2 linked regions of the Caenorhabditis elegans genome follow. The protein of the gene in region 1 interacts with the protein of each later gene in a pairwise test. Each region holds a gene or a part of one and is shown in the gene's direction. Other genes may lie near its edges.

Region 1 (5,767 bases):
TCCTTTTCTCCCGAATTACTGCTTACGAACATTCCGAAGAAGGTATTGAAAAGCCCTGAAATGTTGAAGATCGCTATTTCAAATTTATACTTTTATGGATCAAGGAAAAGGATTCACTCACCACCCAATCCTTGAGATTTCGTTTTTCTGGTTCTTTTTGTTGGCGACTGCTCTTTTTCTTCGTTTGTAACAGCTTGATCGGTTAACCAATGTCGTTTTCTTGCTAAATATTTTAATTAATTTCAGCTTATTTTTCATTCACTTCTCCTACATTGAGAGTCTTTGTCTGATAAATCAGACCTACGTGACATTCCGTTTCTCTTTCAATCGAATATCGTCTATTTTTGATGTTCCAGATTCAAGTAGCTATCCTGAAATATAGTTTTTAGCTGCTTTAAAAGATTTTTGCTATAGTAAATACTATCACAAAGGGCAACATTTTAAGTTTTTCAGCCAAAATAAAGAAGGCAATTAACCTCTAGGCAGTACGTAATCATTCAATTATTGCATAAATTACTTTTAATAAAAGAATAGATGAATGGGATAGAAGCGGAGGAGATTGGCTGCAGATCATTTTTGAATGAAATGAATAAAATTTGGGGAATCTGGAGAAAAGTTGAACTGTTAAAAAGATAAATGTGAACAAAATAAAATCCAATAGATAAAAATAGAAAGAGATCTCACCACAGGAAGACAGCCAATCAACTCTTTTTTTTTTGTTGATTCACAGTGAAAAGGAGAATTTTTGGAATCGATAATATATGGTAACGAGAGATGGAGAAAGAATAATAGTTTGTCAGCTTTTCTATAGATGGGAATATTTTCAACTTGACTGAACAATCCGGAATACAAAAAAAACAAGGAAACGAAACGGGAAAAATGTGGTGAAATTTTGAATAACTTAGTAATAAATGGTAATAAAAACAATTAGAAAGAGAATACTCGGAGACTCTTATCCAATGAACACGTCACCAATGAACGAGCATTTTCTCCGAATCTAACTCCAGTGACTGGTCCAGAATGATCAGAAAGTGATACAACTTCACTCCAGCTCTTCACATGCAAAACTTGAACTTTTTGGCCACCAATTCCTAGGAATGTTCCAGTCATGTCGAAGGACAGGGAGTTGATCTGAAAAAATTATATTTTTTCATTAAACATTTGCTTAACAATTTCTTACCGGTTGTTTCTCTTCGTTAGCGAAAGTTTTCAGATTCTTCAATTTTCTAAGATCCCATAATTTGACCTCTCCATCCTCTGATCCCGTAGCCAAATAATATCCGTTTTCAGAAAACGCAATCGAACGAACGGCAGCAGTATGTCCCGGGAATGCAGCAGCCACGGTTTGATTCTTCAAATCCCAAATCTTCACAACGGCATCCGCAGCTCCAGTTCCAAAAATAAGACCATCAGGATGGAACTCGATGGAATGAACGGCAATTTGTGATCCTGGTTCAACTGAAACCTTGCAAAGCGATTTTCCGGAACGAATGTCGGAGAATGCCCAGTAAGAATCATCAGAAGCGGAGAGAATGTAATCACCGGATGCATTGAGGGAGATATCTGTAAAACATTGTTTGTTCAATAGAAGAATTACAGCTAGCGAATTTTTTTCAAATATCTCACCTGTAACGGGTGCCTGATGGACATCAATAATAGCCTTCGAAGACGAATCAGTTGCACTCCAGACTCTAATATGTGAATCAGCAGAAGCAGAGATTGCAGTAATATTATCCGGATGCAAAACAACTGCGTTGATCTTCTTGTTATGCCCCTTGAATGTTTGCATAACCTGTTCCTTTTCATAGTCATACAAGACAACGGTTTTATCAATTCCTCCGGTAAGTGACAAATTTCCCTTGATATCCAATGCAGTAATTCCAGGAGTTCCAGTCGAATGAATTCCAGTGTGAGATGCTGTCTGTTTCAGCTCGGCGAGCTCTTCTGTTTTGGCAAGTCCTTCAGGAAGATTTTTTCCTCGTTGTTTACGTTCAGCAGTCAGACTCTTTGATTTCTCTTCAAGTTTTGCCAGAATTGCCTCACTAAGACCTTGTTGATCTTCAGACTCGTCAATGCTGACATCATCGTCAACTTTCGCCGATGTGTGTGGTTTCAAAGTAGACAATGCTTCTCTAGCAGCGGTCAATTCTTTGGAGAGGCGGGAAATAACACGACAAGCGGCATCGTGTTGGTACAGAGAGTGAGAAAGTTCTTGACGAGCAATTTGGAGTTGTTGTCGGAGAGAGAAGCTGTTGAGCATTACTGTATCCCACTCGTCTTGAAGCATTTTTAGTAGAGATGGGATGGATGTTCCAGAGACATTGCGTGGTGCTGATCCAGTGCCGCCACTTTTCAATGAAACGAGCTAAAAAATGAATTTTAGAAATTATTATTTTGTTTTTTCAATGAATTATCATTTCGAAGTTTCACGTCAGTGAAGATAATTGCAAGGTTGACAAACCTGGTCTTCAGAAAGCTCTCCATGGCTGATCGGATCTGTTCCGTTTTCGGCAATGAATTTAACGATCAGCCGACGATCAAAGATGTGCCCTGAGACTTGAGAGACGACTGGGTCTTCGGTCAGTTCACCACTGATTCCGCACACGAAAGACATCTCCTGAAAGTAGCAAAATATACACGAAACCGCTTGATTGACGTGGGACATAAACGAAGAAAGTTTCAATGCGAATTTTGTAGGATAATTACATTTATCGAACGAGTGGTCAATAAATACGTACTCTGGCTAGTGACTAATCGAACGGCGCATTGGATCAAATGTTTTAAACTTGTCTTTAAAAGAAAATCTAGAATTTTAACCAGTTTTTCATGAAAAAATGCAAGTTTTCAAGTCAAAGGAATTCGAGACACCACGGTTTCAAGATCTGATGGGATCCCGGATCTACGTTTTCCGGATCTACCATTTCCGGATCTACGTTTTCCGGATCTACGTTTTCCGGATCTGGCACCGTGCCAACGCACAAAACGCTTTTCAACGCACGACTTTTTTCGAAATTTTCTTCTAGAAGAAACGCTTAAGAACACGCGACGCGTAACATCGCAGCGTCGTTGTCACTTTTTTCTTCGAAAAAATAGCGTTTTAAGAGTTGGCACGGTGCCAGATCCGGAAAACGTAGATCCGGAAAACGTAGATCCGGATATGGTAGATCCGGAAAACGGAGAATCCCACCAGATCTTGAAACCGTGGTGTCTCAGGAATTCCATGCAATGAGAATTCGAAAAACTGCAGTGGAGCGTACTTGCTGCAGCTTTTCCGGGCGGGGCCGAAGAAATGTCGGCCATGAGACTGGGGAATAAAAACGATTTGAAAAAATAATTTGGATTTGAATTTTCTTCCCAAAAAATGCAAATCGGGGAATATGAGCTCACTTTCATCGATGTTGCGGTGTTTGTGGTGTTTCTCGTGGCTTTGAATAAAATTGTTAAAAGGATGCTTGTTGCAAAAATCAATGAGCCAGCGAAATATGAGGTAATTTGCAAATAAATCTTGGGATGTGAATTTTTGTTTCTCAGATCGAACAGCTCGAAGAGCGTGATATGACAATGGAAGAAATCGAAAGCATGCGCCGCGAGGAGAACAGGTGCCTGGTCATTGTGGAAGACAAAGTAATAAAATACTTTTCGGATTATCAAAAAAATAAGTTTATTTCAGATTTACGACCTCTCTGGCTCACAAGATCTCTATGACAACAACCGCGATCTTTTCGAGAGTAGTGAAGGATGTGGACCTGAATGGGCACCGATTTGTGCTAGGAAATATCCATTCGTCGGACACGTTTTGAAGAATTAATTAAAATCTCAGCGGGAGTTTGATCAAATTTCGGGTTGTTTAAGTTGTGTCAGTTACATCGTGTTTTTTTGTTGTTAAATAAAACGGTTATTTTTTTTCATACATTGCTTTTTACATCTCTTATTATTATAGGCTGAAACAACCTTCATTTTACTTTTGCCCGTTTTTTAGATGACTTTGATTCAAAAAACCACGTTTACAGATCAAGTATGGCTTTGATGTACCCATTCCACGTAGCACAACCTCCACTCAACTGGTCCGAGCACTTGTGGGTTTCCGAAGTCTCACCAGCAAAAGAGTCATTCATCACCACGATTTGTGAGCACCGTCAAGCTCAATGGGTACGTTTTTATTTCAAAATCACACTTTTCTGAAAAAGTACATTGTTGTTCATTCTAAATTTATTGCAGGATAATCAAGATCTTCTGCGTCACTTGCAAGACAGTGTGGCTATTCTGACTCGTGAAGATCAACGTCATGTGAACGCTGTCCATGCAGCAGCAAATATGCCTGCAAATCCTTGAATTCCCTATTCTACACCATATTTATCTGTAAATAAAACTCGATTTGGCATACCATTTTTTTTAATTATGGAATTCATTTCCGAGGTACTGACCTCGTTATTACCTAATTTAATATTTTGTTCTCAAATTATTCCAGATTTTATTCAATCGCTTCTTTTCAGTTTCATTGGGAAAGACGAACCGAATAATAGGTATTAATATTGTACTGTAATTATTAAAAAGAGTTGTGAGATGACCGATGAGCAAAGGTCTGGAAGTAGGCGGAGAGGAGGAGCCCTTGGAGGTGGAAGGGGAGGAAATAGCCAGAATAGTGGTGAGTTCATGACTAATCATTTTTAAAAATTCATACAATGAAGTATATTAGGCCCTTCGTATTGCTTAAAGATTGAGGTTTTACTGTTCTTAGTATTCAAAAATACCGTTGATTCACTCTCTACTATAACTTTTTCCTTATCAATCCTGAAGTTATTGAACAGTTTTAGCAGAAACGCCACTTTTATTTATTTATCAACTTTCTTATCAAACAAAGTGAAAACTTTATAGCAATTTTCGAACAGAGTGTTCTTCATTTTTTCTTAATTTTCATATTGAACTAACATTGAACTTACAGGCCGGAAAAGATCATCAAACAGTCCAGCTGATTCGGCTTCCTCCTCCCAAAAGACGAGCAGAAATCCATCGCAAAATCGTCCTCCAATGAACATCGTTCCTCAAAAAGTCACAATTCTGAAACGAAATCAGGATTCTCAGCCAACATCTCCAATAAATCGGAATGCGCCACCAGGACCCTTGGTTGCCGCTGTACAACCATTGATGGCTGTTGAATTGGGCGATTCGGGAGCTTCATTGAAAGGATGGAATTCAAATCCTACTACTCCAGAGAAAACAACGATTAATGTTGCTGGACGACAAGCAGAAGCCAACAAAAAACAGACGCAAGAGTATTATTTCTCCAAAAATGCCGGGTCAGCCGTGTCGGCTCAAACATTTCAAGAGACTGTCCAGTATCCAATGAGCTCATTTCCGTTGGAAAAGAATGTACCTATTCAAATTGATAACAATTTTACGGTTAGTTGTGAATAAAAAATTAAAATCATTCGCTGTATTCCAATAGAACAAAATTCGTACTTTAAACTTTAAAATAGCAAAAAAATGTATGAAATTAATTTTTAAAAGTCAAGTTTTTAGCTGTTGATTACTCCAACTACGAGCAAGTGCAATGGACTATTCATCAAAGTAAAATTACAACATGGAGATGACAATATCACAACTGGAGCTCTGTTGAAATTGGATGCAGATGAAAAGACGATCAGAAAATCTTGCAGGGAAACTATTGAGAATCTCTTGAAAGGTTTGAACTGAGTTTTCCGATTTCATTTCACTGTTTCTCAACAGTTTCAGCAAAGTCTTCATCCGACAGATTTCCATTCTCAAA
Region 2 (9,720 bases), on another chromosome or scaffold:
TGGTTTCTGATCACCCCTCCATAGATACACCGAGATCCTTATCATCGGTACGACCTCGACCGTTGGCTAGTTTTTTGCAGTTCGATAATGACCTCAATATCTTGATCTGTTTCTTCTTTTCTCCATCATTCGTCATACCTTTCACTTTTAGAGGTGGTTTTTTATACAGCTTTTCTAATACAAAGGATAGTGATATTAAAAAATTCTAGTTTTAGATTATTAACAACGGGATTGCATAGAAAAAGTTTCTTTTTCGACATTTTTTCGTAAAACGGGCATTAAATGAATAACACAACAATTATATAGTTCTGTTATAAAACAACAAGTAGTATGTTTTATAACAGAACTTTATAATCGTTGTGTTTTTATAACAGCAATGGCTTTTAAACGCTGGAAAAAAAAGGTCACAACAGTTCATTTTCAAGCTTAGTCTTAGTCTTAGTCTTAGGCTTAGGCTTAGCCTTAGCCTTAGTTTTAGGCCCGGGTTCAGGCTTAGCCTTAGGCTTAGGCTTTGGCTTAGTCTTAGGCTTAGTCTTAGGATTAGTCTTAGGCTTAGGCTTAGGCATAGGTGGGGCTGGGGGATTATTTTAATTTTTTTTTTTGAAAATTATCAGAAATTTTTTACATTCAATTAAACAAATTGTAGTGAATATTTTGAGTTGTGTAAAAATGATATTTTTCACAACAGTAATAATATTTAAATTATACATATAAACCACATTAATAACGTTTTTTTTAAGTATCTGATCACTTTTTTTTGCATGCTAAACTTATATTTTCTGTTTAGTATAAAACTCCATCCAATTCCCCGTTGTTCCAGATGAGATCCCTTCTCCTCTTGGCACTTGTGAGTGCGTCGGCGTACGCGAGTTTCGACAAGATCAAGGATTCTATTCAAAACCCATTGGCACGTGGATTTGGTGACGATATTGCGTGGGTCAAGTGGGAAGATGCAATTGAGACTGCTTTGGATACTGATAAGCCAATCTTCTTGTTGATCCACAAGTCTTGGTGCCATGCTTGCAAAGGTAAGAGCGGCAGTTGAGAAAATTTAGGCAATTTCTTATAATACGTGTGGTATCACACTGTCCCATCACGGTTTGATCTACAAAAAATGCGGGAATTTTTTGCTCTAAAAATGCGACGTCAGCAGGTTCTTAATCATGCGAAATCATTTGAGAACTCTGCGACTCTTCTCCCGCATTTTTTGTAGATCTAGGTAGATCAAGCCGAAGTGAGACACCCTGACACCGCGTGATTGATTACATGCTTCACTAATAATTTGAAATTTAATCATTTTATTCAACAAGTTAGTCCAATAGAGCGCACATTCACATGTCCCTTCCCCACTGCAGCTTCGATTTTCTCTCCGGGTAACCGACCAAAGACAAGAAAGGAGAGGGATTTATTCATCCTTGACACACTTTTTTTTATTAATTCAAAGAATGGTGTCAGAACACCTTGTAAACCACAAAGCTTGTACATATAGTTTTCAAGGGAAAAATCGGGAAATTCAATTGATATTTTTCGAAAATTGCAAAAAAAAACGTGCAAAATTTTGAATTAAGAAAAATGCACATTTGTACAAATTTTGGGAAATTCAAAAATTTTCACGTGATGGGACCCGTGTGTGGGCGAACCACAGTTTAAATTTGATGTAAAATAATATTTATAATTTTTATGACTCAACATTTGAAACTTTAAACATAATTGTATTCGTTTAAAAATTTGTGAAAAAATTGAAAATTGGTTTTAAAAAATTTGAAGTTTAAATATTTCAAGTCCAGAAAATCCAATGCGAGAAAAAACCTCAAAATTTTTTTAAAAATTCCAAAAATTATATAAAAAATTATTTTAAAGCTTTCAAAAATTCAATAAAAATTCCAAACAAATTCCACTAATCTGAAAAAAGGATAAAATCTATTGGGGTCCTAAGCCTAAGTTTGAGCCTAAGTCTAAGTGTAAGGCTACGACTAAGCCTAAGCCCAAGCTGTAGCTTACGTCTAAGCCTAATTTTTAAATGTTTCAATTTCGAATTTTCAAATTTTCCAGCTCTCAAGAAGACCTTCCAACAATCCAACGCCAAGAAAGCCTTCAAAAAGCTCTCAGAGCACTTTGTAATGGTTAACACCGAAGACGACGACGAGCCATTCGAGGAGGAGTACCGTCCAGACGGAAAGTACATTCCACGTCTGCTTTTCCTCGACAAAAATGGAGATCTTCTTCAAGAATTCAAAAATAAGAAGGCCGAATACAAAAATTACGCGTATTACTACTCATCACCAGCTGATATCCTTAACTCTATGAAGGATGTGCTTAAACATTTTGGAGTTGACATTCCAGAGGCTAAGAGAGGTGATAAGCTTAAGCCAAAGAAGCCAGAGGGAAAGAAGAAGGAATTGTAAGAATAGAGATTGTTTTATTGATTTATTGATTGATTTTCAGCTAATTTATTTCTTATCATTTCTTTGCCAATCTTGTTAACTATTATTAATTATTATCACGAATAAACTGGTTCTCGATACGTCGGTTTTTACGAAAAATTTAAATTCGCGCCAAAAACCTTTTCGAAACCTCGAAAAAATTTTAAAAATCTTATGAAAATTGCATTTTGTGCCTGAAAATTTTTAGCCAATTTTTTAGAAAAAAAAAAAGTTTTAGGAAAATCTGTGACATTTTGAAAAATTCAGGAAAGTTTGAAATTCCAGCCAAAAAACTTTTGAAAACTAATTTTTTGAAAAAACTAATTTTTTGAAATTTTTGAATTTTGCATTCATTTGAAATTGACTTAGGCATAGGCTTAGGTCTAGGCTTAGGCTTAGTCTCAGGCTTAGGCTCAGGCCTACGCTTAGACGTAGGCTTAGGCTTTGGTTTAGGCTCAGGCTTTTTTCGGTGATTTTAGAAAATCTGAAAAGCTTTTTGAAGTTTAAATCTGAACAAAATTTTTTTTGTTTGAAAAAATTTATAATTTCATGAATTTTTGAATTTTGCTCTCGATAATTGTTTAATTTAAAAAAATTCAAAAAAAATTTGAATTTTGCCACAAAATAGGAGATTTAAAATACACCGCCCACATATTGGTTCAAATCTAAATCAAGGCTTTCATGGGAGGCAGGCGCGGTTTCAGGGCCTGACGCCTGTCTGCCCGCCTGCCTTCCGCCGCGGCCGACACTTTTCGGGTTCCGCACTATACAGAAGGCCCGAGGCAGGTGAAGGTCGCCGCAAGGTAGGCACACCAGGCCTTTTGGCGCCTACATGGAAGGATTAATCAAAACCAGTTTCCTAAGGGATTAAGAAACTTTCTCTCCTTCCCTATATTTGAGTAGTTATGTAAACATCCTCATATTCAGAATATGTCACGTCTCTTCTCCAATGTTCCGAATTATTTTCCTCTTATACATCGTCGGGTCATTTCTCTACCAGCAATATGAATTCGCAGTTTGAATTTCGAAATTTAGTTCTAAATTCCCAATTTCTTTGGATTTTTCTAATAAATCTTATCACCTCTGCCAATTCTGAAGCCCTAGCTTCTCCTTATCAGTATCTGAAGGATCTTTGCCCTGTTGGACAGCTTCCACTAACGGATACGGAGCACGTGAAGACGTGTGCAAGCTTATGTCCTCTTGGAGCATTTTGTCATAGGGGTATATGTTGTGTACCGCCACCGCAGTGCAGGCATCCGGCTTATAGGTGAGGAAATTTTTTTTTGAATTTTGTGTTAAACTTCGCAGATTATATATTGTTTTTTGAAAACAAATAATTTTATTTTACCGCCAAATTGTTTTTAAATGTTTTCAAATATTTAAAATTGGCGCCAATTTTTTTTGAAGTTTTTGGAATATTTAAGTTTGGCGCCAAAATTGTTTTGCAATTTTTAAATAATTTAATTTGACGTCACAATGTTTTAAAATTTTTAAAATATTTAAATCTGGCGCCACTTTTTAAAATTTTTTTTAAATATTTAAAATTGGCGCCAAATTTGTTTTGCAAGTTTTTAAATATTTAAATTTGGCGCCAACTTTTTTTGTTGATATTTTTGAATTATTTAAAATTGGCGCAAAAATTGTTCTGAAATTTTTTTAATATTTAAAATTGGCGCTAAATTTTTTTTGCAATTTCTAAAAAATTAAATTTAGCACCATTTTTTGAAATTTCTTTTAATATTTAAATTGGGCGCCAATTATTTTTGTTGATATTTTTGAAATATCTAAATTTGGCGAAAATTGAAATTTTAAAATTTCTGTCAAAATTATCAAAAAAAAAAATTATATCAAAAAAATTAAAACTTGAAGCTTGCCCCAACTATTTTAAAGATTCAAAAACTGAAAGTCGCGCCAAAGTTGCTAAAAATCTGAAATTTTGAATTTCGCGCCAAAAATATTTGAACTCAAACTTCAGGATGTCTACCGGCTTTCCATGTCTTCCAAAACGTAAGAATAACTGCCCAGATGGATCATTTTGTGTATCAAGTAGTCAGGATGGAATGTCGATATGCTGCTCAAACAGGAGCATTGAAAAGTTGGTGATTTTAAGCTCCGCCCACTTCTTGGTTTTCTGGGAGAAGAAGACCATTCTAAAATAAAAACTATAACTACAAATAAAATAAATCCATATTTTTACAGAAGTTTCCCGATAACATCACAATTAAAACTCTCCAAATCTGCACCGTTCCCAAAGGAAAAGCCGATGCAAAAATCCACGTCATCACTGATGACGTCACTAGACTCCTCCCAAATCTGTCCGAAATCCCATCCAATTATTGCACATGATGGGAAATCTCTGGTTTTGTGCAAGGATTGTGTTCAGGGGTTAGTTTTGGACTGCGTTTTAAAAATTAAAAAATTTATTTTTAAACGAAAATGTTACCTAAACTCGAAATTTACAATTTTTGCACCAAAAAACTGGAGAAAAATTTTTAGTGCCCAAAAAAATTATTTTTGAACATTTCAAATTTTTTTAGATTTTTCAGAAAGTTCACATAATATTGAAGATTTTGATTTTGTAAATTTGAACAAAAGCATAAAACTGTTTGTATCACAAATTAAATTTTTTTAACATTTGAACATTTTGGGTCCCACCACGATAAGTTTCAGAACCGATATTTTCCTGGAAACTGTTATAGAAAAAAAGTAAAAATTCAGATTTATTTCGGGGTACCCCGAATTCAAACAAAATATCATAATATGAAAAAAATTTTTAAATCAAACGTTAAATAATATTTCGAATTTTTGGGTCCCACCACAAAAGCTTTTTTGCCGAAAATTTTGTGAAAAAAATTGGCAAAATTGTATGTATGATGCTTTAAATTTAACATTTCAACTAATTTAAAAAAATTAAATTCGAAAATTTTTTTTTCAAATTCTATATTTTCAGAGTTTGCGCAAAATTCCGCACCAGTAACGTAGAGGTATGCTGTCAAAGTTCTGACGATATTTGTGGTGTTGGAAGTCAAATTTTGATGAATGGATTGGTGCCGAGGGACTGTAACAAGAAGCCATGTGGGATGGGGTAAGTGAATTTTACAGCTCAAGCCATGCTCTTAAAATAGCCAGGAGCTAATTTTTTTTGCTCGAAACTTTCCGAAAAACATCTAAAACTTGGAATCAATTTTTTGATTTTTTGAAAATTAAAGTTGAAATTTCACAAAAATTTTTAAACATTTTCAGAACTTCTAAACTAAAATTGCACCGCAAATTTCAAATTTCCAGCTACGAATGTTCGCTAACCCCGACGGGTCTTCGTGTATGTTGTTCGTTAGCCCAATGCCCGTCAGGAGTGTTTGCGAGAAGTGTGTGCGCAGCCGGATGTTTGAGAAATGAAAAGTGCATGGAAATTCAGAATGAGATGTGGTGTTGTCCATCCGAGGAATCATTCGGTTCAAGAATTGAGATGGTTTGTAGGAATGGGGAGAATGGGTAAGTTACTACATTGTACTGTAGTACTGTATACTGTATAGTGTACTGTTGGGGTACTGTAGCTCAGTTTCCGTTTGTCAAAAATTATCAAAAAATTTAATTCAGTGTTTATCATCCAGAAAATAGCCTTAATATACCGAGTATAACTGTAGAAAAATTTATGGAATTTCTCTAAATTTTTCTAAATTTTTAACGATTTTTTTTCAATTTTGCAAAAATATTTGATTTATAACACTAAAAACTATTCAAATGCCAGAAAATGGAGCCGTAATGACCAAATATATCTGGAAAATTTTTAAATAAATTTTCTAATTTTTTAAAATGATTTTTCGTCAATTTTTAAAAAATCTAAGAAACGGCCGAATTAAATTTGAATTCCCGCGCAAACCATATATTTCGGCCGTTTTTTAAATTGTTGAATAATTGAAAAATCATTTTAACAAATTCGAAATTTTTTTATTAGGTGCTTCTATTGAATTTTTCTACAGTTACATTCGGTATATTGAAACTATTTTATGTCATTTAGAGCAAAAAAAACTTCCAAAAATTTTATTTCCTCGAGTTTTTTTAAAATTTCAAATGTACTTGATTGTCTAGATTACTGTAGAAATGCTTATGACTCAATTACAAAAAAATCCCAGTATTGATTCTTATTCCAGAACCGGTGAAAAATGTGACCCAGCTTTTCCGGCGTGCTCACAAGGAGCATTTTGTGAGCTGAACAAGGAGAAGACCGCCCATATTTGCTGTAAGCGGTATAAAAATCGACGTGAGTATTTTATTGCTTAAACCTATAAAAACTAAAATTCAAGAAAAAAAAAAATTTCAGTCGGCAACAGCCGTAAAACCCTTCTACCCCCTCCATTCTACTACACTACAACTACTATGAAGGCTCCCATAACCATAGCCACAACTACTGCAGAACCATACCCTTTTGAATCTGTGTAGGTTGCTTAATTAAAGGCAAAGTAGCGCCAGAGGGGAAAGTGTTTAAAACTACTCCATTGGTGTCAAAATGATCGAATATCATTTTAAAAAATTTCAAAAAATTTTTGAAATTTTTTTATTTATTATCAAAAAGTGACAATTACTCAGTTTTTGCCACTCATAATTTTGGAAGTCAACCAAAAAAAAATTTTTTTCTACATTTTTTATACTGTAATTTTTTTTTAATTATTTGTATTAAAAAATTGTAGGGGTTGGAACATGCGAAATTGCTTTGGATTTCCTCAAAGGCTCATATTTTTCAAAATGTTTGCAATTTTCCAAAACTGACCGGGAATAATGAAAAATCTAAAAATTTTTGGACTGTTTGTTAATGATATTTGGTCATTTGAAATAATTTTAAGTGTATTTAGACACAATCCCCACTGGCGTTACTTTACTTTTAAACCATCAAAGGTATCTTAATCATATCTTAATATTTATTACAGTCCAAACTGCCAAGACCCTGAAGCCCGTCCACTCATGGAAAACGGCTTCCCATACATTTGTGATCATATCGGAGATCCGTGTATTCTTCGATCAGGATATTCGTGTCAAGAATCTGATATTGATGATGTCTATGTGTGTTGTACTATTCAAATGAACCGAATCCTTCCACCACAGATTCCAATGATTGGGCCATTTACGTTTATGACGTCATCAACTACTACAACTACTGAGAAGCCGATTGAAGAGGAAGAAGTGATTGCGCAGCCGACATGCCCATTTTCATATATGCCGTCGAAAAATGTTAATCAAGATGTGCAGCGTTGTCTATCACTGTTTACGTTGGAGTGAGTTCCAGAAAAATAAAAAATAAAAAATTTTTTTCGATTGTTTTTTGAAACTCTAAAAATCAGTATTATCTTATTATCTTTATCCAATTTTTTAAAATTTTTTTTTAAATCGGAATTAAAAAAATTCTAACATACATATATTGTTGAAAACGTTTAACGTTCAAAAATCGATATTTTAAAATAATTCCAGCTGCCCACTCGGCTACACGTGTCTACCATCTTCCACTACCGACAGTTATCTATGTTGTATTCGGAAGCCTGTGGTCTATTAGGCTTAATTATTGATTTTTGTTTTTTTTTTCGAATATTTGTGCCAATTCTATATTTTTTAAATATTTTTTTAGCTAATGAACATGTTTTCAAACAGTTTAATTTAAAAACAGCCTAATACAAAAACTTGGAAAACTAAGCCTAAGCCTAAGCCTAACCCTAAGCCTAAGCCTACACCTAAGACTACACCTAAGCCTAAGCCTAAGCCTATGCCCAAGTCTAAGACTAAGCCTAAGCCTAAGCCTAGGCCTAGGATAATGAGAGCATTTTCAGACTGCTCTATAAAGCCAAACAAAGATTTTGCAATAATTCATAACGCATTCGATTCACAATAACAAGTTCTTTAATAAAACTATAAAAATGTAAAAAGTTAGGAGTCAAATTTTTATTTATTTAACACTGAAAAATTGGAGTGTGTAGATAATGAGAGCATTTTCAGACTATGTTTTTTCAGAGCTGACGCCAAGCTTATGCCTAAGCCCAAGCCTACGCCTAAGCAAAAGCCATAATTCTGAAAATCTAAATTCAAATGTTAGCATCCAAGTCTGGGCTCAACGGTCCAAGCCTGAAAGCTTAAAAACCTAAAGCCTGAATATTTTTGCAAACATAAGTAAACTGAATTGAAGTTTTATCTGTGATGTACAGTTTTAATTGACAAGAAACATTGCAATCGGGATTAGTTTTTTTGAAAAACTGGATAATAAAAATGAGGGAAAATTAGTTGAAAACACAAGAAAATAATGACAGATTATGAAAAATTGGCAACGAATATAATAAGTTTGGTAAAATTATACGACTGGGGAGGAAGAAGCCGACGATTCTTCGGATGAAGAGGAGCTTGATGGTGACGTGGATGATTGTTTTGTAGTCTGGAAAGTATTAGTTTAGGTGGTTTGGTCAGGTTTAGAAATTTTTTTTTAAATTTAATTTGGTGCGAAATTTTATTTTTATTTTTCAGGCCAAATTTACGGCGCAAAATCGGTGTAGATTTTTTATTTTGAAATTTTTTTAAATTGCAATTTAACTTAATATGTAGGTATTTTAAGTACAAAAATAATCGAAAATTATTTTATTATTTTAAAAATTGAGTTCGTTTTCAGAAAATTAAAAAGTTCTCAGCAAAATTTTAAAATAACAACAAAAACTAACCTTGGAGAAATTTTCCGCTTCCTTTTGCAAATCCGCAAAAATATTGAGCACATTGGCGAAGAGCACCTTGTTCTTCGAAGCCTCCCGCATCTTTTGCTCCACAACATCCTGCTCCAACTCCTGAGCAGCGAGACGACGAAGCTTCTGGAGCAACAAGTTGACTGGGTACTGGTACTCATACCGTCCATCATACTGGCTCTTGACAATTTGCTCGGTACGGCATTCCCGGAATACTCGAATCGGGCAGTCGAGGAAGAGAAGACACTCCAGTGCATAGTACCGGTTGTGCTCTTTGAGCAAGTAGTCAGTGTATTTTCTGACTTGTTGAGCAGGGCTCAGTGGAGCTGGGACTCTTGGGAGAGCAGCATTGGAGACCGGCTTGGTGTGAGATGGCATTTAGAATGAGTTAAATAAAAGGTGAGAGAAGAACTGAGATATGTGGTTAAGAATGACACTAACCTAGACCTAACCCTGTAGGACGCTGCAATTTGGCAACAACAAAAAATCGATATATGGGCGGGGGGGAATGGGCTATGCAACGTGGCAATGGGAAAGCAGAAGGAAACAATGGTTATTGATTGGTTTACGATTGTGAATATATAAAT

Evidence for each region. The genes of interacting proteins can lie anywhere in the genome.
Region 2: the proteins of emb-1 (region 1) and Y57A10A.24 interact in a two-hybrid assay, tested with the Caenorhabditis elegans proteins (one large-scale study listed by BioGRID).

What each region holds. Positions count from the first base shown.
Region 1 is NC_003281.10:5,169,429-5,175,195, forward strand, and holds emb-1 (Anaphase-promoting complex subunit emb-1), read left to right. Parts: upstream 1-4,010; 5' UTR 4,011-4,017; coding exon 4,018-4,149; intron 4,150-4,218; coding exon 4,219-4,332; 3' UTR 4,333-4,381; downstream 4,382-5,767. Other genes in the region: ulp-1 (Sentrin-specific protease), read right to left, coding at 1-55, 122-223, 272-311; prp-19 (Pre-mRNA-processing factor 19), read right to left, coding at 928-1,131, 1,181-1,563, 1,627-2,365, 2,462-2,614; K10D2.5 (uncharacterized protein), read left to right, coding at 3,362-3,487, 3,532-3,624, 3,671-3,808; cid-1 (4Fe-4S ferredoxin-type domain-containing protein), read left to right, coding at 4,564-4,645, 4,943-5,400, 5,521-5,683, 5,734-5,767. UniProt on the Caenorhabditis elegans protein: Probable component of the anaphase promoting complex/cyclosome (APC/C), a cell cycle-regulated E3 ubiquitin ligase that controls progression through mitosis and the G1 phase of the cell cycle.
Region 2 is NC_003280.10:12,239,568-12,249,287, forward strand, and holds Y57A10A.24 (EB domain-containing protein), read left to right. Parts: upstream 1-3,378; 5' UTR 3,379-3,427; coding exon 3,428-3,690; intron 3,691-4,398; coding exon 4,399-4,518; intron 4,519-4,622; coding exon 4,623-4,808; intron 4,809-5,373; coding exon 5,374-5,508; intron 5,509-5,708; coding exon 5,709-5,915; intron 5,916-6,574; coding exon 6,575-6,684; intron 6,685-6,744; coding exon 6,745-6,859; intron 6,860-7,348; coding exon 7,349-7,693; intron 7,694-7,886; coding exon 7,887-7,968; 3' UTR 7,969-8,062; downstream 8,063-9,720. Other genes in the region: txdc-12.1 (Thioredoxin domain-containing protein), read left to right, coding at 821-1,028, 2,053-2,405; tag-276 (uncharacterized protein), read right to left, coding at 8,755-8,835, 9,116-9,511.